Linked DNA regions of Lonchura striata. Each later gene encodes a partner of the first gene's protein in a complex. Links are inferred from orthologs where the notes say so. Each region holds a gene or a part of one and is shown in the gene's direction. Other genes may lie near its edges.

Region 1 (6,946 bases):
GGCAGCTGGTTGGTGGGATGGCCATCAAGTACTGGACTAGCACCAAGGCACACCAAGAGCATTTGCCTCTGCACGTTGAGAAACCCCTTACAGCACTGTGTATTTTTTCTCTTTTAGAACTGGAGACATGTCCTGGCTAACAGGGAAAGGCACCTAAAGCCACGGATGGCTGAGCTGTCCTGATGCTGCACTCACCATGGGGAGATGGGACAGCAGCTCCATGGCCCAGTGGGAACCCCATGGTTCAGCCATTTCCTTTTGAGACCTTTATGAACCTGGCATTGTGCACTGACCTTCCCAAGAGGATCTCACACAGCTCCTCTGCCCCTGTGCCTGCTGGGCTGGGCTGGGGCTCTGCTGTTGCAATTGCTGTGGAATGCTGGAAAAGCAGCCTACAGAGGTTTGGCACTGGCAGCGGGCATGGGCTCCATATGGCTCTGGATGCTGCCATCGGGCTGAGGGTCTGCCCCACGCATGCCCCTCCCTCCAGAAGCCCATAAGCAGTACGAGTGCCTTTGGTTGCTCCTGTGCTTTCATGCATGATGCTCCTTTCCAAACTCTTTTTGCTCCCAGCAGAGCTGCAATGCACATCCCTGCGAAGCCTGACAGCCACTCCCTTCCTGCATGGCTGCAGCACTTGTCACAGCTCTCCCTGTGCCCACCCACCCCAGGGGGCATTTGGGCAGGCCAGATTACACTGGGTGATTTCTGTGCAGCTGGTGCTTTTGTTGTCCAGGCTGGTCCTGTGCAGCCCCACCAGCAGAAGTGGGTCCCTGTCCATGCTGAGGGCTCTGGAGCTCATCAGTCCCCCTCCCAGCATCTCCTGTCCTGGAGCAGCCAAGGGCTTGGGATTCGTTCCCTGTCTCTTGGGGCCCCGTTTGGGCTGGGGCACTGGCAGCTCTTCGCCCATTCCCGGAGTGCATAGCAGGGGTACCTGAGAGCTGTGATGGCTCAGTTGCAGCCCTGGACTGGGTGGCCACCCTTCCAGTCAGACTTGGGTTATCTCTCCTTAATGCTCTCGTGGGATCAGTGCTGTTGCTGAGGTGTTATTAGAGGAAAAGTAGCTGGGGGGGGGTGGTATTTCTGGCTGTCCATTCTCTGGCAGTGACAAAGCTGCATTTCCCAGCCCACCACGCTAGTGCTCTGCTGTCCTGTTTCTGGCCCCATGCTGAAGAAGAGCCATATCTCCAGCTCAGGAGTGAACCTGGCCAGCCACAGCCCAGTGTCCATCAGCCCAGCAGAGTGGGGATTGAGGGTCCCCCTTGGAGAGACTCCAGTGCTCTGTTCTGGGGGTGACTCTTTCCCCAGCAGTGTTTTACCCTGAGTCCCAAACAAGAGGATTTATATTTTTAATTTGATTCACCCCCTACAAATTAAAGCAATACTATTCTTGAGGTCTGGGTCATGTTTGATTTCTTCCAAGACCTTGGGTTTTCATGTTGGCCAGATTGTTCAAGAACCTATTCTCTGGAGACTTCCCACCTGTGTCCAGCTCACCTGTATTTCCAGTATTTCAGATCTTGGCTGGGTAGAAATGCACCAGTGTCTATCATATCTTTGGTTGGTCTCTCCTGGTTTCACTGCAAAGCTTTTCCCAGGCGGAATGACCAGGAGGGATGGTAGCAGGATGTGCACACTCCAGCACACATCCTGTGATGAACAGGGATCATTGTGTGTCTGCTGGATCCACAAAACAATGGGAACTTGCAAGTCTCATTTCAGGTTCCAAAAGACAAATATCAGTGTTCCTGTCCACAGATCCTCCTCTGAGGGCAGGGGTGGCTGGGGCTGCTCAGCTCCTGGTGCCCCAGGCAGGGTTCTTACAGAGTGGCCTAGGGCCATGGGCACTGCCCAGGTGGAGGCAGCTGCCCGGGTGTTGCCTCACCTCTGCCCACTGCTCACAAAGATCTGGCTTTATATCCCGTGTCCTGCTGGTGGGATAGTTGGACTCAGCTTTGGCAGCTCACCAGGGGACCCAGCTGGAGTGCCAGGGGACTCTGGGACACCAGAGGGTGGCATTCCCTGCAGGTGTGTTTTCCCCAAGCTCTCTGTCATATTCTTCATGCTGGGTGAGACTGGCAGCTCTCCCAGCACAGCTTTGCTACAATGGGGACACACTGGCAGTGTGCTTTGTTTTTCAGGAAGATGCTTTTTAACCTCCTTTGCCTCTGATGAGGCCTCATTCAGTATTGTGCATGAGCTGCATAGAATGGGCATCACCCCCATGTTCACAGGGCTGAAGACCATTCAGGGGCTGAGGAAGGACCTTCAATCCCAGTCTGCAGCTGCAGTGGGGATAACAAGTCCCATTTCCTGCTTTTTACAGAGGAGTTATTTCAACCAGGGCTGGTAATATCACCCGTGACATGAGAAATCCCAGTCACTACTGTAGCTTTCCTTGGTACATGTCAGGTCACAGGTAGAGCTGGCTCAGATGGTATTGCTTCTCTGCACAGGTGTGGGGTGGTGTTGAACCTGAGACCCTTATCTAGTGCCTTGGCAAATGCTTCCCAGTGGCGAGTCTGTCCTGGAACTGGGCAAGGCTGGGTTGTGTTCTCTGCCACCTTTCAGGCACATCTTGCAACCTCTCACGCCAGGACAGAAAGTTTCCATCTCTTCTTAAGAAACTGCCTGTTCCCATGTGGAATGAGAGCCCAGCTGGGGCACGTGAAGTGACCCCCAGCTGCTCTGCCCCATGTCAGTTACCTCCACCAGACTGCCCAGGTATCATCTTGGTTGCTCACCTTGCCTGCCCATGCAGATTTGGTGCCTCCAGATCCTGAGCTCTCCACGAGCTTCTGCTCCTCAGATTCTGGGCCATGTCTGTCACCCTGCCCATGTCTCACCTGTGTGCTGGCAGGACTTGGGGGACAGATGGGGCTTAGCATCTGCCCCATGCAGGTAAGACCCCATCTGGAAAACTGCATCCAGCTCTAGGGTTTCAGCACAGGAGGGACCTGGAGCTGCTGGAATGAGTCCAGAGGAGGCCACAGAGATCCTCTGAAGACTGGAGCCAGCCTGGAAGAGCTGGCGGTACTCACCTGGAGAGGAGAAGGCTCCAGGGAGAGCTCAGAGCCCCTTGCAGGGCCTAAAGGGGCTCCAGGAGAGCTGGAGAGGGACTGGGGACAAGGGATAGAGGGACAGGACAAGGCAGGTTGGGATGTTGAGAAGAAGATGGGATGTAGTGTAGAAATTCTTCTCTGTGAGGGTGGGCAGGCCCAGGCACAGGGTACCCAGAGCAGCTATGGCTGCTCCTGGCTCCCTGAACATGTCCAAGGCCAGGATGGATGAGGCTTGGAGCACCCTGGGATAGTGGAAGATGTCTGTGCCCATGGCAGGGGGTGGGATGAGATGAGCTTTCAGGTCTCTTCCAACCCAAACCATTCTGTGGTCCTGTAACTTCAGCCAATCAGGTGCTGGTTTAACCATGCTTTCAGCCCCAGATGGTTTGGTTTTGACAGCATATGGCAGTGAGCTCTGCAATTTCATTTTAGCTTTATTCAGGAAAAGAATAATCTCTTTCTTTGGTTTCTTGTGTTCCTTGACAGTTTCTGGCCCTTAAGGACCTCACTTACAGCACTTGCTTTCACTATTTGCAGCTTCTCTGATGCACCTTATGGGGTGAGCTGAAGATCATGAGGTCTGTTGGGTAGACCTAGATCTGTTGGGTAGAACTGACAGAGTGTGTCCAGAGAAGGCAACAGTGCTGGTGAAGGGGCTGGAGCCCCAGGAACAGCTGAAGGAGCTGGGAAGGGGCTCAGCCTGGAGAAAAGGAGGCTCAGGGGGGACCTTGTGGCTCTGCACAGCTCCTGACAGGAGGGGACAGCCGGGGAGTTGGGCTCTGCTCCCAGGGAATGGGGACAGATGGAGAGGGAACAGCTCAGGCTGGGCCAGGGGAGGCTCAGTTTGGATATTAGGGAATATTTCTTCATGGAAAGGTTTGTCCAGCTCTTATACAGGCTTCCCAGGGCAGTGATGGAGCCCTCATCCCTGGAAGTGTTCAAAAAATGTGTAGATGTAACATGGTTTAGGGGTGGCTTTGGCAGTGCTGTGTTAATGATTTGACCTGATGATCTTTGAGGGGTTTTCCCACCTTAATAATTATGTGATTTTCAACTTGAAGTTCCTGAAGAACCTTTCACTCCCAGTCATCTCTGGCTCAGCCACCCGCTAACACATCATCCCCCACTGCCCTCCCCAGCACCCCTGAGCCTGGGTGGGGCTTGAGGAACTCACAGTGATGGGTAAATGCTCCATGAACCTGGAGGCCTTGAAGAAGCATTTCAGGTGAAGAGTACCATCCTCTCATGAGGCATCCTCATCTGTCAGGGGTCTTTGAGCAATATTTGTATTGATAGAGCCTGGCTGAGAGAGGGTGCAGTTGCTTCAAGTCACAGTGACGGGTACAAGCTGCTGTCACCCCCTAAAGATGCTGTTGACAGGAGATGCTCTGTGACTTGTGACTTCCTTGCAACTCCACCATGTGATTCCTGCATGGGCTTGGTGTTCCAAGGTGGGAATTCTCCTTCCTCAGATCCCCGTTCCAGGTCAGCAGCCCTGTCCCCAGGGAGCCAATGGCCATATGGCCCTGCGCATTAGCCTGGCCTGCCACCTCACTGATTCCCTCCTGGCTAATCTGGGCTGAGCCGGGCTGGTGTGAGCAGGATTGCTGTCCATGGCTGTACCCACCCCACTGCCCCCCAGCCTGCGCCGAGGCTTGGTGGCCTTCAGTGGCTCCCTCTTCATCAACAACAAGACGTGGGACAGCAGCACTGCCCACGGCTACCAGCCAGGTATGCGCAGAGGGCTCTGCACAGGGGGGCTTGGGAACAGGGGGTGTCCATCCCCATGACCCTGCACAGGGGGGCTTGGGAACAGGGGGTGTCCATCCCCATGACCCTACTCAGCACATCACCAAAGCACCCAAAGAGTCCCCGAAACCACCCAACAGGGAGGGGAGCAAAATCAAGAACATTTGCTGCAATCAGCTGCTTGTGGGACCCAGGGTCTGTTGCTCACCTCCACTGTGAGGGGGGGGTCCCTCTGGGCAGGGGGACCCCGGGGCTGGTGAGCAGCCTGCCTATTCCTGCCTGTCCTGCCTAGCTCAAAAGGTGCTGTCCAGCCTGCCCCTCCAGGTGATGCTCTACTTCAACGTCTACTACTTCCCAGTCTGGTGCCTGGCTGAGGGAATTATGCTGCACCTGAAGGTACCATCCCATGGGGCACGTGGGGATGGGAGGAGCTGCTCCTGCCAAGTCTCCCTGGGCTTGGGTGGGGGACAAAATGGGCAGCGGACAGAGGAACCTTTTCAGAATTACTGGAGTCCCAAAATGCCCTGACCCCCATGAGAAAAGATTGTTCATTTCTGTCTGCTAGAGATGGAAATCATTAACTTTCCAGGCAAGAATGGTTAAAACAGGGGGGAAGAGTAGGCAGAGCTGTGCACCAGCATGGTGAGATCTGGCAGAGCATGGAAAGCTGGGTATGGGGAGGAGGGCACAAGGCATGGAGAGCAGGGAATGGTGCATAGAAGAAAGGGAAACTGGGCATGGACAGCTAGACTTGAACAAGGCTGTGCTCCCATAACAGTACCACCTGCTGCCTTGGCACTATCAGTTCCTGCTGGTCACAGCCTTCCTTATCCTCTCGCTGGCTGAGGGCTCCCGCCTCTACTTGGGCTACCTGGGGAACCTCCAGGAGAAGGTAAGCACTGCCTGCCCTGGCCTCTGTGCTCAGAGAGGATCAGCCCAGCTGGGGGAGCTGGATTTCTCCTCACTTATGAGCCATGTGTCCATCACTGTCCTTTCTCTGGAGGTCTACCTGGAACTGTCCTAGAAGAGAATCATGGGTGAAGGCATGACCTGGAGAGAGGAATGAAAGGGACCCATTTGCCCTCCTGCTGTGTCTCTCCACTGGGGGGGTTTGACAGCATCTCACCACAACTCAATGGAGCAGGGACATCCCTAGTCCCTGGGCACCAAGGCCAGCAGAGGCTGATGCAGGAAGCTCCAGGAGCACAGAGGGTCCCCCCAGCCCACCACTGCCTTCTTGCCCTGTCTCAGCAGCCTCTGGTCTTGCAGGTGCCTGAGCTGGCTGGGTTCCTGCTCCTCTCCTTCCTGATCCAGCTGCCCCTCCTGCTCTTCCTGCTGATGGACAGGCAGGTCATCCACCTACCGCTGGAGGTGCCCATGCACAGCTTGTTCCTGACCTTCCTCCTCCCCGAGATCGTGGCTGCCTTCCTGGCACTGAGGACCATGACCAAGCATCTGGCGGCACAGTTCTACCTGCGGCAGTTCCAGGAGGGTGCGAGGGGCCAGCTGGAGCCAGAGGGCACAGGGGGACAGGCAGCCAAGATGGGATGATGCTGCATGACCCCTCCACCCCACACAGCTGATCCTGGCAAGGAGCATTAAACAGTGCTTGAACCCACAGACATTGTTTCTGAGCTTTGTGGAGACTCCAGAACAGCACCCAGGCACAGCCCAGCTGATCCCAGCCTTGCACCAGCTAACACAGCCTAGGAAAAGTGGAAGTGAGCGGTTAGCACCTCTAAAACATTCCAGCTCACCCCACAGCTGTGCCTGTCCTTGCTCAGCATCAGCCCTGGCAGGAGGCAGGAATCAGGGTGCAGGAGCCACTGCATACCCCTAGGAAGTACCAGCCCAGGGCTGGAACTTTAAACTTGGCTCCTAAACCCTCCTTGAGTTTCCCAGAGAGCTTCTGAGAATCCAGGTGGTTCACACAAAGCCATCCCAGCTGGAAGCATGCAGGGTGCCACGAGGTGCAAGAGCAGCACTCCACAACCTTATAGTTCCTCCATGGCTAGAGACAGAGCAAAACCTCCTCCCACTTCCAGAACAGCTTTATTCCATTGCATCCCTGTTTTTCAAGGGAAATCAAAGCCCGTGATTACTGGAACATGGAGAAATGCAAAATGCTTTAAGCC
Region 2 (7,305 bases), on another chromosome or scaffold:
CCCAAAATCCCTTTCTTTTTTTCCCAAAACCCCCTTTCTTTTTACCCCAAACCCCTCCATTTCCCCCCAAAAATTCCATTTATTTCCCCCAAAAATCCCTTTTTTCCCCCCAAAATCCATTCCTTTCCCCCGGCCCCGTCCTTTCCCCAAATCCGTTCTTTTTCCCCAAACCCCATTTTTTTGCTTTTGCCCAAAATCGCCTTTTTTGGCCCCAGGAGCAGCTGCTGTTCTGCGACGACTGCGACCGCGGCTACCACATGTACTGCCTGAGCCCGCCCATGGCCGAGCCCCCCGAGGGTACTTTGGGGCGTTTTGGGCCTTTTTGGGCATTTTGGGGCATTTTTGAGCATTTTGGGGCATTTTGGGAGAAATTTTGGGAGAAATTTGGGAGGATTTTGGGGGGTTTGGAGGGATTTTGGGGCATTTTTGGGGGGATTTGTGGGGGTTTCGTGGGGGTTTTGGAGGGAATTTGGGGAATATTTTGGGGGGTTTTGGAGGGAATTTGGGGGATTTTGGATCATTTTGGGGATTTTGGGGCATTTTGGGAGGATTTTGGGGGATTTTGGGGAATATTTTGAGAGATTTTGGATAAGATTTTGGGGGATTTTTGGGGGTTTCGTGGGGGTTTTGGAGGGATTTTGGGGAATATTTTGGGGGGTTTTGCAGGGAATTTGGGGGATTTTGGGGGATTTTGGGGATTTTGGGGCATTTTGGGAGGATTTTGGGGGGATTTTGGGGGGATTTTTGGGGTTTTGAGGGGGTTTTGGTGGGATTTTGGGGAATATTTTGGGGGGTTTTGCAGGGAATTTGGGGGATTTTGGGGATTTTGGGGATTTTGGGAGGATTTTGGGAGGATTTTGGGGGGATTTTTGGGGGATTTTTGGGGGGATTTTTGGGGTTTTGCGGGGGTTTTGGTGGGATTTTGGGGACTATTTTGGTTGGGATTTTGGGGGGGATTTGGGGAATTTTGGGATTTTGGAGAATATTTATGGGGGATTTTGGAGAAATTTGGGAGGATTTTGGGGGGGTTTGGAGGGATTTTGGGGGGGAATTTGGGAGATTTTGGGTCATTCTTTGGGGGATTTTTTTGGGATTTTGGGAGATTTTTGAGAGGAATTTGGGGGAATTTTGGAAGGATTTGGGAGATTTTGGGGGTTTTGGAGGGATTTTGGGGGTTTTTTTTGGAGGGAATTTAGGGAATTTTGGAAGGATTTGGGAGATTTTGGAGATTTTGGGGGATTTTTTGGAAGTTTTGTGGGGGTTTTGGAGGGATTTTGGGTTTTTTTTTGGAGGGAATTTAGGGAATTTTGGAAGGATTTGGGAGGTTTTGGGGAGTATTTGGGGAGATTTTGGGGAAGATTTTGGGGGATTTTAGGGGAATTTGGGTGATTTTGGGGCATTTAGGGTTTTTTGGGGGGATTTTGGAGAAGATTTTGGGAAAATTTGGGGGGATTTGGGAATTTTTGGGGAGAATTTGGGGAGATTTATGGGAGGATTTTGGAGAATATTTTGGGGGATTTTAAGGGAATTTGGGGGATTTGGGGGATGTTTGGGGATTTTTGGGCAGATTTTGGAGAAATTTTGGGAGAAATCTGGGAGAATTTGGGAGAATTTGGGAGAATTTGGGTGGGTTGGGGGGGGCTTGGAGGCATTTAGGGGCATTTTGGGGGGATTTTGGGAGATTTTGGGGATTTTGGGGATTTTAGGGGATTTTTGGGGGGATTTGGGAAGTCTTTTAGGGATTTTGGGGGATTTTTTTGAGATTTTGGGGATTTTTGGGGGGATTTTGGGGGAATTTTGGAGATTTTGGGAGAAATTTGGAGGGATTTTGGGAGGGTTTGGAGGCGTTTTGGGGCATTTTAGGGATGGAATTTGGGAGATTTTGGGTCATTATTTGGGGGATTTTGGGGATTTTTTTGGGATTTTGGGGGGATTTGGGGGATTTTGGGGGATTTTTGGGGGGATTTGGGGATTTTGGGGAGAATTTGGGGGGATATTTGAGGGATATTTGCCAATTTCGGGGGGAGTTTTTGGGATATTTTTTGGATACTTTTGGGGAATATTTACCGATTTCGGGGGGATATTTGGGGGAATTTTGGGGCTATTTTTGGGGAATATTTACCAATTTTTGGGGGATATTTGGGGGAGTTTTTGGGCTATTTTTGGGGAATATTTACCGATTTCGGGGGGATATTTGGGGGAGTTTTGGGGCTATTTTTGGGGAATATTTACCAATTTTTGGGGGATATTTGGGGGAGTTTTTGGGCTATTTTTGGGGAATATTTACCGATTTCGGGGGGATATTTGGGGGAGTTTTGGGGCTATTTTTGGGAGATGTTTACCAATTTCGGGGGGATATTTGGGGGAGTTTTTGGGCTATTTTTGGGGAATATTTACTGATTTCGGGGGGATATTTGGGAGAATTTTGGGGCTATTTTTGGGGAATATTTACCAATTTTGGGGGGATATTTGGGGGAGTTTTTGGGCTATTTTTGGGGAATATTTACCGATTTTGGGGGGGATATTTGGGGCCGTTCCGGGGCCATTTTTGGGTTGAAATTCGGCGTTTTGGGGCAGGGAGCTGGAGCTGCCACCTGTGCCTGCGGCAGCTGAAGGAAAAGGCCTCGGCCTTCATCACCCTCCCCTAGGGGGGGCCGCCCCCCAAAAACCCCCAAAAACCCCCAAAAACCCCCAAAACCCCCGACCCCCCCCCAAAAACCCGACAAAAGCCATAACCGAGCTGGGGGGGGGGAGGGGAGGTTTTGGGGAGGGGGCTCCCAAATTTTGGGGGGGGGGGGGGGCGCCGAGTGTTGCATGATGGGAAATTTTGGGGGTCCCTCCCCCCCCTCCCGCGCCCCCCTCCCCTCCCCCCCCCGCGGGCGGATTTTGGGGGGGTTTTTGGGGGGGGTCGGGAGGGGGGGTGGGGGAGGGGAGGGGGTTGGGGGTCTCTCCCCCCCCCCAACCCCTCCCCAAATTTTGGGGGGCCCCCCCCCGTGGTGTCGTGGTCGGTTCTGTGCTGTGGTGTCCGTGCAGTAAATTTGGGGTGACCCCCCCGTGACCTCTGACCCCGTCTGGGGGGGGGGAGGGAATTTGGGGAGGGGGAGGGGCGGGAATTTGAAGGGGAATAAAATTTTGGGGGGCAGGGGCAGAATTGGGGGAGGGGCAGAATTTGGGGGGAGGGGCAGGAATTTGGGAAAGGAGGAATTTGGGGAGGGGAGGGAATTTGGGGAGAGGAGCGAGAATTTGGGGAGGGGGAGGGGTGGGAATTTGGGGCAGGAATTTGGGGAGGGGGAGGGGCGGGATTTGAGGGGAAGGAAAAATTTGGGGGGGAGGGGCAGAATTTGGGGGAAGGAGGAATTTGGGGAGGGGGAGGGGCGGGAATTTGGGGGAGGGGGTTGAAATCTAGGAGAGGGAATCCCAAAATTTGGAGGGAAAAGTAAAATTGAGGGGAGGGACATGAAATTTGGGGTTTTTCCTCAGTTTCGGTGTTTTTTCCCCAATTTTGGTGTTTTCCCCCCAATTTCTGGGTTTTTCTCAGTTTTGGGGATTTCCTCCCCAATTTCTGGGTTTTTTCCCCCTAATTTTGGGGGATTTATCCCCAATTTTAGATTTTTCCCCCCAGTATTGGGTTTCTTCCCCCAATTTTGAGTTTTCTCCCAATTTTGATTTTTTCCCCCCAATTTTGGAGGCTTTTCCCCCCATTTTTGTTTCCCCCCCCAATTTTTTGGTTTCTTTCCCCAATTTCTGGGGTTTTCCCCAAAGTTTTGGGGTTTTCCCCCAATTTTGGTTTTCCCTCCCCCCAAGTTTGTAGTTCTTACCCCAATTCCTGGGTTTCCCCCCAATTTTGGGGTTTTTCCCCCAGTTTTGGGGTTTTTGCCCCAATTTTGGGGTTTTCTCCCAAATTTCTGTTTTTTTCCCCAATTCTAGTTTCTCCCCTCCAGTTTTGCAGTTTCCCCCTCCAGTTTCTGGGTTTTTCCCCCAGTTTTGGGTTTTTCCTCCCAATTTTTGGATTTCCCCCGAATTTTTGGATTTTCCCCCAATTTTGGTTTTTTCCCCCACTTTGGGGCACCCCAAGATGGCGGCGGTACACACAAGATGGCGGCGCCGCCCTCAAGATGGCGTCCCCCTACTCTGTAACGCCCAAGATGGCGGCGGCCGTACGGCAAACTCTGCCTCACACGCATGCGCAGTGATAACGCCGCTCTTTGTGGGCGTGGCCTGACCCGCATTGACCAATCAGCGCCGGCCCGGCGTTACCGTGGCAACGCAATGCGGCAGCGCCGCCCGCGCATGCGCAGTGGCGGCGCGGGCAGGGGGCGGGTGAGCGCCGCGCGGGCGGAATTTTGGGGGGAATTGTGGAAATTTTGGGGAATTTTGGGGGGAATTGTGGCGATTTTGGGGATTTTTGGGGGGAATTTGGGGCGGGGGACGGAGGGGATGGGTGGAGATGAGGGAGGGACGGGCGGGGATGGCGGGAGGGGAGAACGGGGCGGTTTTGGGGGGGATTTTTTGGGATTTTTTGGGATTTTTTTGGGGGGATTTTTGGGGTGAATCCGGCGGGTTTCGGGTCCCGCAGCCCATGGCGGAGCTGCACCTCTTCGGGCAGATCGAGAGCGGCTGCGGCTTCTCCGAGCGGCGCCTCTTCTGCAAGTGGGGGCTGCACGCCGGTGAGCGCGGCGGGGTGGGGGTCTGGGGGGATTTTGGGGATTTTTGGGGAATTTTGGGGAATTTGGGGGAATTTGGGGGATTTTGGGAGGGATTTGGGGGAGTTGGGAGGAATTTCGGGGAGTTTTGGGGGAGTTTTAGGGGGATTTGGGGATTTTTTTGGAGGATTTTGGGGGGATTTCGAAGGGATTTGGGGAGATTTTGGGAGGAATTTGGGGGATTTTGGGAGGAATTTCGGGAGGTAAGGGGTGGGTTTTGGGAATTTGGAGGGGAGATTTGGGGATTTTTGGAGGATTTTGGGGGGTTTTGGGGATTTTGAAGGAGATTTTGGGGGGATTTTAGGGGGATTTGGGGGGTTTGGGGGATTTTGAAGGAGATTTTGGGGGAATTTCGGGAGGTTTTGGGGGGATTTTAGGGGGAGATTTGGGGATTTTTGGAGGATTTGGGGCGGATTTGGGGGTTTTGGGTGGAATTTGGGGGATTTTGGGGGAGTTGGGAGGAATTTCGGGGGGTTTTGGGGGCACTTTGGGGATTTTAGGGGGATTTGGGGGAGGGTTTGGGGGAGATTTTGGGGGTCTTGGGGAGATTTGGGGGGATTTTGGGAGGAATTTGGGGATTTTGGGAGGGATTTTGGGGGATTTTGGGAGGTAGTGGGTGGATTTTGGGGATTTGGGTGGGAAATTCGGGTTTGTTTGGAGGATTTTGGGGGGATTTGGGGGAGGGTTTTGAGGAGATTTGGGGTTTTTGAAGGAGATTTGGGGATTTTGGGAGGAATTTGGGGGATTTCTGGTGGGATTTGGGAGATTTTGGGGGGATTTGGGAGATTTTGGGGGATTTTGGGGGGTCTGGGGGATTTTAGGGAATTTGGGAGGAATTTTGGGGGGATTTTAGGGGTTTTGGGGGAGAGATTTGGGGATCTTTTAGAGGATTTTTGGGATTTTGGAGATTTTGGGGGATTTGGGGGGATTTTGAGGGGAACTGGGGGAATTTGGAAGATTTTGGAGGGATTTTGGTGGGATTTGGGGAGATTTGGGGACATTTGAGGAGTTCTGGGCAGATTTTGGGGGGATATTGGGGAGATTTGGGGGTTCCGGGGTGATTTTGGGGGGACCTGGGGCTTTGGGGCCATTTGGGAGAATTTTTGGTGGTTTTCGATGATTTTTGGGTTATTTTAGGTGATTTGGGGATCATTTTGGGGTGATTTTGGTTAATTTTTAGGGTGATTTGAGGTTATTTAAGAGGATTTTGGTGTCCCAGGTGATTTTGGGGTGATTTGGGATGATTTTGGGGGATTTCGGGGGTTTTGGGGTATCCTAGGTGATTTTGGGGGGATTTTGTCGTGATTTTTGGGGTGATTTTGGGGTGATTTAGTCTGATTTTGGGACATTTCAGGCTGATTTTGGGATATTTCAGGGTGATTTTGGGACATTTCGGGCTGATTTTGGGACATTTTGGGCTGATTTTGGGAAATTTTGGGCTGATTTTGGGGTGATTTTCTCTGATTTTGGGGTGATTTTGGCTGATTTTGGGCCGTTTCGGGTACTGGCGCCACCTGGACCCTCCTGGCTGATTTTGGGGTGATTTGGGGCCATTTTGGGTTGCTTTTGGGATATTTTGGGGTCATTTTCCCTAATTTTGGGCCACTCCGTGCTGCAGGCTCCGCCTGGACGCTGCTGGCTGATTTTGGGGTGATTTTGGGACATTTTGGGGTGATTTTCCCTGATTTTGGGCCGCTCCATGCTGCAGGCGCCGCCTGGACGCTGCTGGCTGATTTTGGGGTGATTTTGGGGTGATTTTGGGACATTTTGGGCTGATTTTGGGCCGTTCTGGGCGCAGGCTCCGCCTGGACGCTGCTGGCTGATTTTGGGGTGATTTTGGGCTGATTTTGGGACATTTTGGGCTGATTTTGGGCCGTTCTGGGCGCAGGCTCCGCCTGGACGCTGCTGGCTGATTTTGGGGTGATTTTGGGGTGATTTTGGGACATTTTGGGCTGATTTTGGGCCGTTCTGGGCGCAGGCTCCGCCTGGACGCTGCTGGCTGATTTTGGGGTGATTTTGGGACATTTTGGGCTGATTTTGGGCCGTTCTGGGCGCAGGCTCCGCCTGGACGCTGCTGGCCGGGGCGGGCGCGGGGCAGACCCAGCTCGACGACCCCCAGGGGGGCGACGCCGCCCAGTGGAGCCACCCCCTGGACCTGCACCTGGGGACACGCGGCCTGCAGGGTGCGGGGACACCCGTGGGGACATCGGGGACACTGGGGGGACATTGGGGACACTGGGGACAGTGGGGACATTGGGGACACTGGGGACATTGGGGGGATTGGGGGCACTGGGGGGATTGGGGACATTGGGGACACTGGGGACATTGGGGACATTGGGGGGATTGGGGACATTGGGGACATTGGGGACATTGGGGACATCGGGGACACTGTCAGGGCCATGGGTGTTCAGGGAGGACACTGGTGGTGTCAGGGTCCCCAGGTGTGTCCCCAGTGTCCCCAGTGTCCCCCCAGTGTCCCTGATGTCCCCAATCCCCCCAATGTCCCCATGTCCCCCCAATGTCCCCATGTCCCCAATGTCCCCAGTGTCCCCAATCTCCCCAATGTCCCCAATCCCCCCAGTGTCCCCAATGTCCCCAATCC
Region 3 (6,210 bases), on another chromosome or scaffold:
CGGCCGACAGCCCCAGCACGGTCAGGATGAACGCCCCCAAAGCCAAGCTGCCGTGCAGCACCTTCCAGGGAAGCTTGGGGCCACTCCATGTGTAGGGAATGCGGTAAACCAGGGCAGCTGTGAGGGGGAGAACAAGGTCAGGAAGGAGCTGTGGCGGGATCCCCGCGCTCCCTTTGCTCACCTGCGCCGTAGAGCACCACCAATCCCGTCACCATCAGCACGGGGTGCCAGTTGAATGTCCGGGAGCTGCCGTCCAGGGAAAAGCCCCCGCGCCAGTGCTGGCACCAGGAGCCCACCATGGCCACGCAGAGCAATCCCAGCGTTCCCAGGAAGGCACAGAAGGGCAAGAAGGGCACGTCCAGCATGGCCGCGGAGCGCTGGTGGCACCTGTGGGCGAGTGAGGAGCCGGCTCAGGCTCCGGATGCGGTCCCAGGGAGGAGCCACGGAAAGGGGAACTGGGAGTCCCGAAGGGTGTGGGGGACAGCTGTTTGACAGCCTGGGGAAGGTGACGGCGATGGAGCTGCCTCCCAGCCACGGATGGTGGCCCAGCAGCTTCCCAGCCTGGTTATGGTGGCAGGGATGGATCCAGGATGGTGGCGCCTGGGGATGATTGAGGTGCCTTTTGGGGCTCTCCAACATCACCAGGAGAAACCGTGGAAAGGGGAACTGGGAACCCTGAGGGGGTGATCACAGTCCAGCTGTGCCCTGGACTGGGAAGGAGGCCAGGGATGGAACAGGACATGCAGAGCAGGGCACAGCACCCCGGGAATGGCAGTGAGGAGCTCCTGGTGTCAGCTGTCATGGTCCCCTTGGCAGGAACCCCATCGCTCTCATTTCTATGCGATTTGCATGTGCCCCCAGAATTGGCTATTTCTGTCCCCTCTGGGGACCGGGGCTGTCCCGACACCCTCAAATCAGCTGCCTCACAGGACATAGAGGCAGGAAAGGGGTGGAGACACACGGCCCTATGGTTCCCCAAAATCTGTGATATCTCCGGGACACAAAGACTCACGGATTTCCCAAATCTGGCACACTCGGTGCCACGGCTCCCCGAAATCTGGGAACACGTGGCTCCACAGCCCCGCCCAAACCTGGACCTGGACCAAAACGCCCGGCCCTGACACCACCCAAAGCCCAGACCACGAGGTCCCTCAGCCCCTCCAGCCCCGGAGCCGCCCACCAGCGCTCCCAGCCCCGGGGCTGTACCTGCGCCCCACCGCCCCCTCCTCCTCACTGGGCGCCGCCATCTTGGCGGGCGCCGCTCTGCCCGCTCATCTCTATGGTTTCCCCGCCCGCCCCAATGCGGCGCCACAGAGAGGCGCGGCGGCCAGAGCGGCCCCGCGGGGCCTCCAGCCGCCACTTCCGGCTCCACTTCCGGCTCTGGCGGCCGTTTCCATGGGGACCAAGATGGCGGCGGCGGGTGAGCGCCCGGGGCGGGGGCACGGCGGGGACCCGGCGGCACCCCCGGCACCGGGACCTCCGCACCCAGAGGGCTTTGGGCGTGTCGGGGGGTGGACCCCGGAGAGGGGAGGGGGCCACGAACGGGGGGAGAGGGCGGCGAGAGGGGGCGCGGGGGATCCGCGGTGGTGGCTGTGAGGAGGGGCGGAGTGACGCGGATCTGGAGGGGCAGAGAGTGATTTCTTAATCCCCATATCCAACTCTTTCCCCCCTCGTGTCCATCAGTTTCTCGCTCCCATGTCCAGCCTTCTTTCCCCGCATTTCCAACCACTTTCCTCCCTTTCCAGCCCCTTCACCCCCGTCTGTCACCATGTCTCCCCCTCAGGGAATTCAGCTCCCAGCACAGCCCTTTTCCTGCCAGGACACGGGGGATCCCTGTCCCCTCCGTCCCTCTTCAGCCAGGATGATCCCTGAGGGGGCTGTTCCCCCTGTGGGATATGTGTCCCACAAGGACCGTACCTGCTCAGGTGTCCAAAACTTCCCGTCTGTCTCTCCTCACTCCTCTCCCTGTGCCCAGAGTGGAACATGCCCAAACCTGCTCAGAACTGCCCATGGAGCTGAGAACAGCCAGAAATAACCTGCTTGGACACTGCTTCTTGGGACTGCACGTCTCCCTCATCCCTGGATTTCCTCACATGGGGATGGGGGTGGATTTCAAGGGGAAGGAAGACACCAGAGGAGAGAGAGGACACAGCTCATTGGGTTTCCCTGATTTATGGCATCCATCCCAATCCCCGTCTTCCCCCTCCAGGTTTGGGACGTCGGGAGAGGCCCTGCTGAGCCCCCTCAGCGCCATGATCCGTTGGGAATGCTGGGGCTGAGGGCTCCAAGCCCCAGGAAGGAGGATGCTCCAGCCCAGCAACTACAGCCTGGTGCTGTTCCTGCAGTTCCTGCTGCTTTCCTACGACCTCTTTGTGAATTCCTTCTCGGAGCTGCTGCGCACAGCTCCGGCCGTGCAGCTCGTCCTCTTCATGTGAGTACGGGCAAGGCGGGGCGGCAGATCCAGGAGGCCCAGGAGCCCACGGTCCCTCTGTTCTCCCGGCAGCATCCAGGACATCGCCATCGTCTTCAACGTCATCATCATCTTCCTCATGTTCTTCAACACCTACGTTTTCCAGGCGGGATTGGTCAACCTCCTCTTCCATAAATTCAAGGGAACCATCCTGCTCTCTGCAGCCTACCTGGCACTCAGCATCTCCTTCCACATCTGGATTATGGTAGGGTGGCGTGGGCACAGCTGCTGGATTCTCCCAAGGGATTTTTCCATGACCCCCAGCTTCCCACAGTCCTTTCTCATGGTCTCCCCCTGGAAGGTGCCCCATGGAAGATGTCCCATTCCATGACACTGTGGTTGGCATCAGGCTGGAAGTGTCCTGCCCAATCCCAGCCCCATCCCAGCTCATTCCCTAAGGGCTGTGACCCATCAGAAAATCCTCTTTCCCCAGAGAAAGCCTGTGCTAGCAGCTCCTGGTTTTTCTGGGATCAGTCCCTATACCTGGGGGCAGCCCACTCCCTTCCTGCAGCTCCTGGCTCTGTCCTGGCAGCACCTTCCCCTTTTCTTTCCTGAATAAACTCCTTCCTAGCTCCTTCCCAACGGAGCAGTTCCCATCCCCTGGACACTTCCTGAAGTTCCCTCCATCCTGCTGCCCCGGAGCACAGGGAATGTTGTGAGGGGTCAGGAGCCACAGCAGCTGCTCCAGCGCTGCCCACGCCGTCCAGGAAAGGGATTTGCAGGGATTTGCAGGGATCTGCAGTCTGAAGCCGGAATAGGTCCGGGCTCAATGCCTAAATCCCCTGAGCTGCTTAACCTTAGAGTAGGGGGATTCCCAAACTTCTCCAGGTGTTACTCCTAGCTTGATGTCCCTCCATCCCGCTCAGAACCTTTGGAATGGGGTGAGGGGTCTGGGAGGGCTCAACAAAACTGCTCCAGGGGTTATTCCCAGTTTTCCAACCCCCTCAGAACCTGCGCTGGCGTGACTCCAGCCGCTTCATCTGGACTGAAGGCCTTCAGACCCTGTTCGTTTTCCAGAGGCTGGGTAAGGACTCCAGGGATCAGGGTGGGATCCCACATCCTTTGGGGATGCTGGGGGCCCTCTCTCATCCTGAAATTCCCTGCAGCGGCCGTGCTTTACTGCTACTTCTACAAGCGGACAGCTGTGCACCTGGGAGACCCCCTCTTCTACCAGGATTCACTCTGGCTCCGCAAGGAATTTGCCCACTTCCGTGGCTGATGGATCCCCAGGATCCCCTGGAGTCTCCTTGCACTCCACAGGCTCTGCCGGGGTCACTTCTGGCTCATCCTTTCTCTAGGGAGCAGTCCTTGGGATTCTGGAAGTCAGCGGGACGCTTGTGGGGCGTCCGTGCGTGCCACAGCCTTGGTTGGCACTGGAATGTTAATGGAAACCCTAAAGGAATAAATCGGATGTGGTTTCCGGAGGCTCCCGGGTGTGTGCGCCCACCCGGTGTCACGGCTGCACTCCTTTCATTGAAACCCGGCTCGGCGCTGCGCTTGGCGGGCGGAGTTCGAACGGGGCCGTTCCCGTGTTCCGGTGTGGGATTCTTCTCCCAGCGGATACGAGCGGGCGGGTTTAGGAGGGAGGGGACGCGAACCCGCGCGGCGCTCCGCCCACGGAGCGGTGCGGCGGGAGCGGCGCGCGCACCGCCGGGAGCGGCGGGGACCGAGCGGCCGCGCGCGCCCGCCCCGCCGCCCCGCGCGCCCGCCCCGCGGCCCCGCGCGCCCGCCCCGCGCGCCCGCCCCGCCGCCCCGCGCGCCCGCCCCGCGCGCCCGCCCCGCGGCCCCGCGCGCCCGCCCCGCCGCCCCGCGCGCCCGCCCCGCGGCCCCGCCCGCAGCGCCCCCGCGCGGGCGAGCGCGGCGGCGGCCGTCCCCATGGAGATGGAAGATGGCGCCCAGGGGTGGGAGCGGGACCGGGGGGGAAACGGGAGCTACCGGAGGGCAGCGGGGGCTACCGGGAGGAGCTCGGGCTGGGAGCAGCGCTGGGAATGGGCTAAGGGGGCGGGCAAGGCGCTGCAGGGCTCCGGGGGCCGCGCTGCCCTGCCCGCCCCGTGCTCTCCCCCCCCCCCTCACGGCCGCCCCGTGTCCCCTCAGGCCGCCATCGCTCCTCGGCTCCGCTGCAGGTCCTGCTCTTCCTCAACGGCTGGTACTGCGCCACGTATTTTCTCCTGGAAGCGTTCGTGTTCGTGTACAAAGGTGAGTGCTTCGCTCCAGAGCTGTTCCCCATCCCGCCGGGGTGGGCAGGAATGCGATGCTGAGGGCGGTGCTTTTCCGGCAGTGCTGCTCCTGCCCTATCCCGTCTACAACTTGGTGCTGGACGTGGTGCTGCTCCTCCTCTACCTCGGCATTGAGGCCACACGCATCTTCTTCGGTGAGTGCCCCTGAATGCCAGAGGCTCCACAGGGAGTGCAGGGTCCTGGGACACCCCCGAAGACATCCCTGGAGGTTCAGGTTGGAATGGGGCATGCAGCAGCCTGGGCTAGATGAAGGTGTTCCTGCCCACGGGAACGGGACATTTAATTCCCCACCCAAAACCCTCCCATGTTCTGATCCCAGCTCTGTGTTCCACAGGCTCCAAGGGGAACCTGTGCCAGCGGAAGGTGCCGCTGTCCCTCAGCCTGGCGCTTACAGTGCCGGCGGCTGTGCTGGCTGTGTACTACCTGCTGCTCCAGACATATTCCCTGCGCCTGGAAGCGTTCCTGAGCGCCATCCTGCTCCTCTTCTACGGCCTGGAGCTGCTTCTGGGCTTCCTGGCACTGCTCTCCTTCTCCAGGTGCCGCATGCTGGGAACTGGGGGAGCTGGCGCAGCAGCTGCCAGGTTGGTTTGGGACCCACACATCCCTGTCTCTGTCTTTTCCACAGCATGGATCCCTACTGAGGACACGGCCCAGGGACACAGGGAAGCATCACCCGTGCCAGCTCCACTTCCCAGCCCCGGGAATGGGGATGATCCCACCCTTCCCACTGACCATTTCATCTGGTGCCTCCTGGACACATCCCTCCCATTTTTCCTACTTCCCACTTCACCAGGGACCTGCTGCCACATGGATTCATTCCTCCCTCTTCCCACTTCCCACTTCACTCACTCTCCCCTGGGCCTATCCTTCCCACCTTTCCCACTCTCCACTCCACTTGGACTCCTCAGAGCTTGAGCCAGCTCAAGGTATGAAGAATCCTTTTTTTTTTCTACGACCTTCCAGAATAATTCACTATTTTCCAATAAATATTTATTTTTACTCGTTGCCTGGGAATGTTCAGGTGCTTCCAGCACCTCAGAGCCAGTTTGGGAAGCACAGGAGCCCATTGGAGGAGGAAGAGGGTGAGGGACAACGGGTGCACAGACCTCCCCAAATCCCTCCCATTCTCTCATTATCCCAAATCCCACCGTAGGAAGGCAACAGGAGCACTGTATAAAAGACTGACAACGTCATCTGAGTTTATTACACAATTCCAACCTATCCAAAGACAAATCTAATCACTGCGAGCAGGAGGGGCGGCGCCTCGCCGGGGCTTCCAGGGATTTGCTCTGCAATTTGGGGGGGAATCTTTTCCCCCCTCTCCACTATTTGGAAAGAAACTAAAAATCTGTGGCGGTAAGTAAAAAAAAACCCGGAGCTCTCCCGCCGAGTGCTCCCACCTCGTGGGGCTTGGGAAAATCGGGGTGGTTTCTCCTGGATTTGGGTTATTTCAACTTAAAAAGACTTCCAGGGCCTGGGTTTTCTCATCCGAGTGTGATTCCA
Region 4 (6,838 bases), on another chromosome or scaffold:
AAACTGAGATTTATAGAGATAATAGATACTTAGCTATACCTCAGGAGACGCTGTTCAAGAAACACTCATAGAGAAGACAATGAAATTTGTCTTCCGAGGGTTTGTGACCTCATTGTCTGGACACACAATTTGAACCTATGGCTTCTGAAACCTAGTTTTCTGTCAGTGAAATAAAATGAGGTTACCTTCTTTTCCTCCTGTTGCAAAGTAAATAGACATTCTAGTACGTTAAACATATTGAAATATGAGGGACTGTTCACGTGACACTCCTAATAACTTCAGCCAATTTAAAATGGAAAATAAAATTAGTTTTTAAAAATTTAGGAGTGTTACATTCCCTGTTAATACCAGATCCCTAGGATTGTGCCACTTCATAATTCCAGCCTTGCTTCAAGTCTCTGCACTAATATGATGACTAAGACTTGATTTCCTTAAAACATTTTAAAGTCTTAAACTGAAAACATGATCAAAAAAGGAAGAAGAAACCAGGTTTCTTTAAATGTTTTGCTGAATTTTAATGTAAGATTTTTTTTGCTTTGGGCCTATAAATAAAAACTGTAGTAGGCTGTGAAAAAACTTTTCTGTATTACAGAATTATAGCTTTGGGAGAACTGCCACTCACAAGAAGTTGATAATACACAACCAAAATAAAATCCGTGGTCACAATTGGTTTTGTATCTACCCTGGAGAGAACTTTGTGAAGGTAAATGTGGCTCAACAAAGTCAGTGAGGATAAAGAACATTCTTCTGAGAACTCTTTTCTGAGAAAGGACTGCTTACTTGCCCCCATGAACTAAGGGCACCCACTTCAGGACTAGGAGACAAGTCAAGGACAGAACTAAGAACTAACAGGGAAAGCTTTTCAGTTCAAAGACTTGCAGATCTCTGAGAAGCAGCCACAGAAATTTAGACTGCCAAATAAACACCTACAGGCATTTCTACTGCCAGTATTGAGGCACACCAACTTTCCAGCATAGTTATTTCTTATGACTTGCATTTAAACCACTAGAAATTTAGCATGCAAAATGCAATCATCTCAGGATGCAGAACATATTGCAGAATTGTTTTCTATTAAAGAAATTGATTATTGGCTTTAAAGTTTTGACCCTTCTTTTTTTTTACCAATGTAATATATGTAAATTTCTTCTTTCTGTTGTCCCAACTCAAGCTTCACCTTATGTCAAATTAGATTGTTTGCTCAGAATACCAAATAGCAGAAACCCTATTATGTTTTGCTATCAAGAGAAAATAACCCACTGATGAGTTAAACAATTAACTTCTGCCAACATATCACTGCACAGTTAGCATTCTCTGAGTTATCCAGCCCCAGATCGTTTCCATTTTGTACACTCGAGTGACACCTCGAGGCTGTCCCTGCATGTGACAGATTTTACCTTTTGCTGAAAGGTGGGCTCTGACAAGAACCTTGATCCATTCTTCATCGTCCTGGAATTCCTGCGAGAGTTTCAGAATGCATCTGGTATCTTCAAACTGTTCACCTGTAACCCACAATGTCACTTTAGTTCGTGTCCCTTTCTACTTCCCACACATCCCAAATGTAAGATAATGGAAAGCTTTCTCTGTACAAGCCCCTGCAACTGAAATACCAGGTGAACACAGGGAACACATGCTTTTGAAGCCATTGAAAAACTCCATGCACACATGTTCAATTTTTTTCAAAAGTCTTGGTTTTCTGCTTCTAGCAGCATAGGAATTGCACACTTGTCTCTGCTTATGAACAGGATATGTTGTGTTTGGAGTATGCTTTCTTTCCTTTGGTGTCTGTTCCACAGGCCATCGAAGTACAGACAAAACTCATCCTGTTATTTTAGGGGCTGTACAGGTTCCCCTGCATTCTTTAGGTGCTCCTGACTTGCATTGCTTTTGCAATAATGAGCAAAGTCCAAATATTTTTTTTAAATTTCACAGTCAGGAAATGGAAAAAAAATATTTGTGACACTGACACAGGAATACACATTGCAACATCTTTAGCTGTAATGAAAGTGTGATCAGCAGCCTCAGGAACTGCTTAGCATCAGCAGGTCATGTTTTGCACTATGCAAAGTACATCAGAAGAACTGTAAGACATAGGACATTGTAAGAAGTAACATGAGGTGAAAAAGTCTTCTTTACATCAGCATGTCAATCCTTGGCTTACAGTAGCTTTCTATATGGAACATTCTTAACTCCAGAATAGTAATTTTTAACTAGTCCAGGATGAAAGGAACAAATTTAACATAGACTTGTTCTATCTATTATTTATGAGTAAGAACTGCAGCATTGTCATCTGCCTCTACCCCCCAAAAACCCAACTAAAAAAGTCAGCTAAAGAGGTTAGATTTATTCTCCCCTGGCACGGAAACTGGCCTTGACCACTACTTGCTTATAGATCTCAGATGGCACAAATACCTCATGTTTGTCAAAGGTGTAATGATCACAGAAATCTTAAAGACATTCTTTTGAAGCAACTGCTCCTGGAAACTTGGCACAAACTTTTGGTAGTAATAGAAAACCTGTGGATGTCTCCTGCCAGGCTTACTTAGAAGGCTTTATAGCTTTATTACTGCTGGTCAAATTAGACAATATCAAATCCGCTTTCCATGTCAATGATTAAAAATGACTGGTTTTGAGTTTGCCACAACTGAGCCTCTCAGATGCCAGGAAGTTAGTTAGAAAGGAAACATCTATCTGGATTTCTGATCCAATCTCTTGTTCAATGCAAGGCCAACCTGAAAGCGAGTCCAGGTTGTTCAAGGCCATTATTTCATGGACTTTGGGGCACTACGAAGGACAGGGAGATAAAGAATGGAGATTCACTAAGGATAAAGGGAAGCACACGAATGCTGAGGAGTTGGTTTATGTTTGTTATGCCAAGGCAACCCAGGAGACCTGCCTAACAAAACCAGAAATATCCCTACCTATCAGTTGAGTGCACGTAAGCTTTTGAGAAAGCAGAGGACAGGTAAGTACAAAAAGAGACATTAGTGACTGTCAATAACAACACATAAGGAAAGAACAGGCAAGCCAGGTTTCAGAAGGTCATTCTTTAGGAAGCCAGTGTAATTCATTGACAGAATTTGAGGGATGCAATGCTTGGGAACTATGTCACAAACTCAGCATCACAAGCATTTGCTCACCTCTAGTTTCTGAAAATTGCTATCAAACGAAGGCTAATTTTATTCAACTTTACTTCTGAAAAAAAACTAACCATGTTCATGGAAAACCTTGCACTGATTTCTCAAATCTTCCAGTGCAGGAGGAACCTTTGACATCTATAGTTTTAATCATTTTTTACACAGAATAATTGAATATACAGGCTTTCAATGACAAAAATGCTCAAGTTTATTAGGTAATTATCCCTGAGAGGGAAGAAAAATATCCCCCAAAGAACTGCTTAAATCAACTATTAAATCAGGCAACAAACAGAAGTTCTCCAGTATCTGCATAGCTGGAGGACATAAATTTGTGCTACTATTTGCAGAAAGCTTATGTGCATTCCAAACGCTTGTCACTCGCCCTCCTGAGCCCAACAGAGCCCATTACCCAGGGACTTTATTCTTCGCCAAGCTACTTTTGTTAGTCTGAACTCCGAGAGCTAATACGTAGTTTCGACAGTTTTGTTTTTTTTTTAATGGACGATGAAATACCCGTGCGAGGGCTCCCGTTTCTAATGCTTTTCATAGCTGTTTGTTTGTTTTTGGTTTGGTTTGTTTTTCCCCGTTCCCCGCGCCCCCAGCGCGCCGTTTCCCTGGCAGCCGGGATTGTTTTGGGCGGAACCACCCGCGCGGCGCTGCGGAGGGGGAGCGGGGCCAAGGAAGAGCGCACTGGCGGAGGGAAGGGGGAGGCGGGGCGGCCGCCGCCGGGCCACGTCGCGGCCGCGGCGGGAGCGGACGGGGCCGGGTGAGTGCTGCCCTCGGCGGGCAGCGGGGCCGCGCCCCGGGCCGGGCCCCGCCGCTCGTCGCAGCGCACGGCCCCGGGGGCGGGTAGCGCTGGGTAACGCCTCCCCGCCGCTGCTCCCTCCCCCGGCTCCCCTGCCCGCCCCGGGGCGGGGGGCTCAGCCTGGGGCTGGGCACGGCCGCGGCCGTTGGCGCGCGCGGGCGGGGAGCGGGAGCGGGATCGGGATCTGGGCCGGGGCCGGGCTGGGAGCGGGATAGGGGCGGGATCGGGATCGGGGCTGGGCTGGGAGCGGGAGCAGGGGCGGGAGCGGGATCGGGCTGGGAGCGGGATAGGGGCGGGAGCGGGATCGGGCTGGGAGCGGGATCGGGGCTGGGAGCGGGATCGGGCCGGGCGGCGGCCAGCGCGGGCCGGGTGCGCGGGCGCGCTGCGGGAGGGAGCGGGAGCGGCTGGCGCAGCCGGCGAGCGTGCCCGGAGCGGCCCCGCAGTGCCGCTGTCGCCGGGCGGCACCGGCGGCCTAGAGCCGCCTCAGTGCTGTCGCTGTCCGCTCCCGGCGCGGAGGCACGGGCAGTGCCGCGGGATGCCCTAAGCCCGGATGGGTGTTCTTTCGCCTCCGCCACCCCACCCCCGCCTTTCCCGGGCTCTGTGGTTCACTGGGGTGACGTCCGTGGGCAGCTGCAGTGAACATACACAGTGCTTCTCCATGCCTGACACCCGGCTCCGAGGCGGGGATGCCTCCCTCGCATGCGGGGCGCGCATCTGGATGCGCATCACATCCTCGTTAAATAATTCCGTCGGTTAGTCCAGTTGTGGTGTGGGGCCGGAAAGTCCCTTTATATCTTTTAAATCTTCTTTCAGGCAAAGCAGAATGTCACATTGGAAATTCAAATACTTAATGCGGTCTCTTGTTAAGAACAGTTTTTAATAATTAGCATCTAAGATAAAGCAGAAAGTTAGCAAACAATAAAAGTCGTCTGTATTTCCTTACATAGAACTGAAGTCAGTAATTTTGCCATCAGAGTCTATTTGCAACTTTCTCTGCACCGAAGGTGCCAAATTTCTGGGGTAAAAACCGCAACCTAACAGTTCCTACGAAGCAAAAACTTTCTGGTATGTTACTATTAAAAAACTGAGGGCTGCACCAGCTTTTTAAAACATCTTTTCTTATTAGTATAAGGTTTTTACAGGCACATCTAAACTGGTAGAAAACTACTGCACTTTTACTAGGTTTTACATAGGTGTTTATTTCGTCTGTTGGTTTTCTGGACTTAAACACTGAATTTTCATTAATAAAACTAGATTGGTTTTTGATGTCAGATTTTTTCAATAGTGAGCAGGAACACATTCATCTCTGTAATTTTGCTGTATAATTCTGAGCTGAAGTTCTTTCACATCTCAGGAGTAATGGTCACTGCATGTTGCTTAATTAGATGCCTACTAGTAAAACCCAAGATTTCCCTCTGTGATATAAAAGATGAGAAATAAACAAGACCTGATGTTCTACTTGTTTACAGACACTGAAGTTTATGCTCACTTACTGCGACAAAAGAAAAACAAGGAATTTAGTTCAGGAAAATCCTAAGTGTGCAATTATATTTTGTCAGCTCAGTTTACTAAATAGTTATAATTGGGTAGGAAATTTTTTCACTTCCCATTGTTTAGTGCAAATTCTGTATGTGCTGCTCATAGTAATGTGAGTTTGATTTATATCTTTTATTAGTGGTCAGTAAAAGTGGGTTTTGTGTATGGTGACTATCGTGGCATGTTTAGCATAAAATCCCTGTATTACAGATGTAGAGTATAGCAACTCAATGAATATTGTAAAATACTGTGAAAAGAGCAAGAGGTTAATGTAGAATCACTTTATAAATAGAATATTGGAGAAGAACAAGCTAGGTTATTTTCAGGAAAGTATAGTAATTGTAAGTTTAGACTTTATGAATTTGTTTTGCTATTTTGTCATGCTGGCTGGAATGTCACTTTCCAGGTATGTGTTTTTGTCAGTCTTGGATTGTCTTATATTTACTAACATGGAAAAGATCCAATTTGATCAGGCAAAAATGCATTTTACAAAATTAATGATGGCTGAGCTTACTCAGACTGGGGCACAGTGGTTGCTGAACTTTGATATACAATTAAATCTCTCCTAAGGTGAGATTACACTAAGTAAACAGCCTTGTTCTTATCCTTGTTGATTAATGATCTATATTTACACAAGCCTGATAGTTGCTTTAAAGAAGCATGTCAAAGACTATGAAGCACTAAATTGGAAATGCCTATTAAACAATAGCACTGTCATGAGAGGACTTTATCGCTTAGTTTTATTGCCACAACAGGGTAGACACTGATTAAGTAAACAAACAGTTATGCATTCATTGGTGAATTTTGATAATTCTTCATTTTACAGGGCATGCTTGTAAACATGAGGCGACCCTAGCCTTTGGTAAGATGTTTGTTCCATTATAATAAAAAAATATGTAAGACTAGTATTTTAACCAACCTATGGGTTATTTAACCTTTGACCAGAAACTTATTACTTAGACTACTTAAATAGAATAGTACTATTCTAGAATAGAATAGTACTTAGACTAGATATGCACTTATTCCATTTTGCTTTTGTGTACTATATTGTCTCATATTTTTTGCTTTAAGAGCCCTTCAGTATTTAATTTCTTATTTCTAATTAGTTTTAGAGGGCTTGTTGAAATTATTCAGCTAATTATAAGATACTTTTCCATGTTTCTGTGGTCTTTAGTCAGTGATTAAAGTGATAGAATCTGTTGTATTTTTTAAATTTATTTAGTTTTCTGCTCTTCTAAATTATGTGCTTTCTAGCCAATTGTGAATTGACTATTTGGAAAGCAGCACTTAGTAACTGTAGTACTTTTGAAATGGCCATTAAATTTAACCAGGTATAAATTGCAAAAGCAGTTTTGTTTTTCAA

The links. Proteins that work in one complex are often made in the same cells at the same time.
Region 2: TMEM17 (region 1) and B9D2 share a complex: the UniProt entries of both Homo sapiens proteins name them as parts of the tectonic-like complex. The link is inferred for Lonchura striata from reciprocal best matches to the Homo sapiens genes TMEM17 and B9D2.
Region 3: TMEM17 (region 1) and TMEM216 share a complex: the UniProt entries of both Homo sapiens proteins name them as parts of the tectonic-like complex. The link is inferred for Lonchura striata from reciprocal best matches to the Homo sapiens genes TMEM17 and TMEM216.
Region 4: TMEM17 (region 1) and AHI1 share a complex: the UniProt entries of both Homo sapiens proteins name them as parts of the tectonic-like complex. The link is inferred for Lonchura striata from reciprocal best matches to the Homo sapiens genes TMEM17 and AHI1.

What each region holds. Positions count from the first base shown.
Region 1 is NC_134620.1:1,591,241-1,598,186, forward strand, and holds TMEM17 (transmembrane protein 17), read left to right. Parts: upstream 1-4,675; coding exon 4,676-4,793; intron 4,794-5,031; coding exon 5,032-5,207; intron 5,208-5,589; coding exon 5,590-5,703; intron 5,704-6,080; coding exon 6,081-6,362; 3' UTR 6,363-6,431; downstream 6,432-6,946. UniProt on the Homo sapiens protein: Transmembrane component of the tectonic-like complex, a complex localized at the transition zone of primary cilia and acting as a barrier that prevents diffusion of transmembrane proteins between the cilia and plasma membranes.
Region 2 is NC_134633.1:4,806,573-4,813,877, reverse strand, and holds the start of B9D2 (B9 domain-containing protein 2), read left to right. Parts: upstream 1-4,299; 5' UTR 4,300-4,320; intron 4,321-4,576; 5' UTR 4,577-4,579; coding exon 4,580-4,667; intron 4,668-6,760; coding exon 6,761-6,886; intron 6,887-7,305. Other genes in the region: zinc finger protein neuro-d4, read left to right, coding at 216-297, 2,578-2,648. UniProt on the Homo sapiens protein: Component of the tectonic-like complex, a complex localized at the transition zone of primary cilia and acting as a barrier that prevents diffusion of transmembrane proteins between the cilia and plasma membranes.
Region 3 is NC_134608.1:53,696,349-53,702,558, reverse strand, and holds TMEM216 (transmembrane protein 216), read left to right. Parts: upstream 1-3,880; coding exon 3,881-4,007; intron 4,008-4,308; exon of another isoform or gene 4,309-4,358; coding exon of another isoform or gene 4,359-4,371; intron 4,372-4,564; coding exon 4,565-4,666; intron 4,667-4,748; coding exon 4,749-4,841; intron 4,842-5,041; coding exon 5,042-5,243; intron 5,244-5,332; coding exon 5,333-5,348; 3' UTR 5,349-5,704; downstream 5,705-6,210. Other genes in the region: lysosomal membrane ascorbate-dependent ferrireductase CYB561A3, read right to left, coding at 1-117, 182-387, 1,207-1,247; TMEM138 (transmembrane protein 138), read left to right, coding at 2,304-2,431, 2,504-2,675, 3,419-3,494, 3,577-3,689. UniProt on the Homo sapiens protein: Part of the tectonic-like complex which is required for tissue-specific ciliogenesis and may regulate ciliary membrane composition.
Region 4 is NC_134605.1:58,104,327-58,111,164, forward strand, and holds the start of AHI1 (jouberin), read left to right. Parts: upstream 1-3,832; 5' UTR 3,833-3,900; intron 3,901-4,404; exon of another isoform or gene 4,405-5,881; intron 5,882-6,301; 5' UTR 6,302-6,337; intron 6,338-6,838. UniProt on the Homo sapiens protein: Involved in vesicle trafficking and required for ciliogenesis, formation of primary non-motile cilium, and recruitment of RAB8A to the basal body of primary cilium.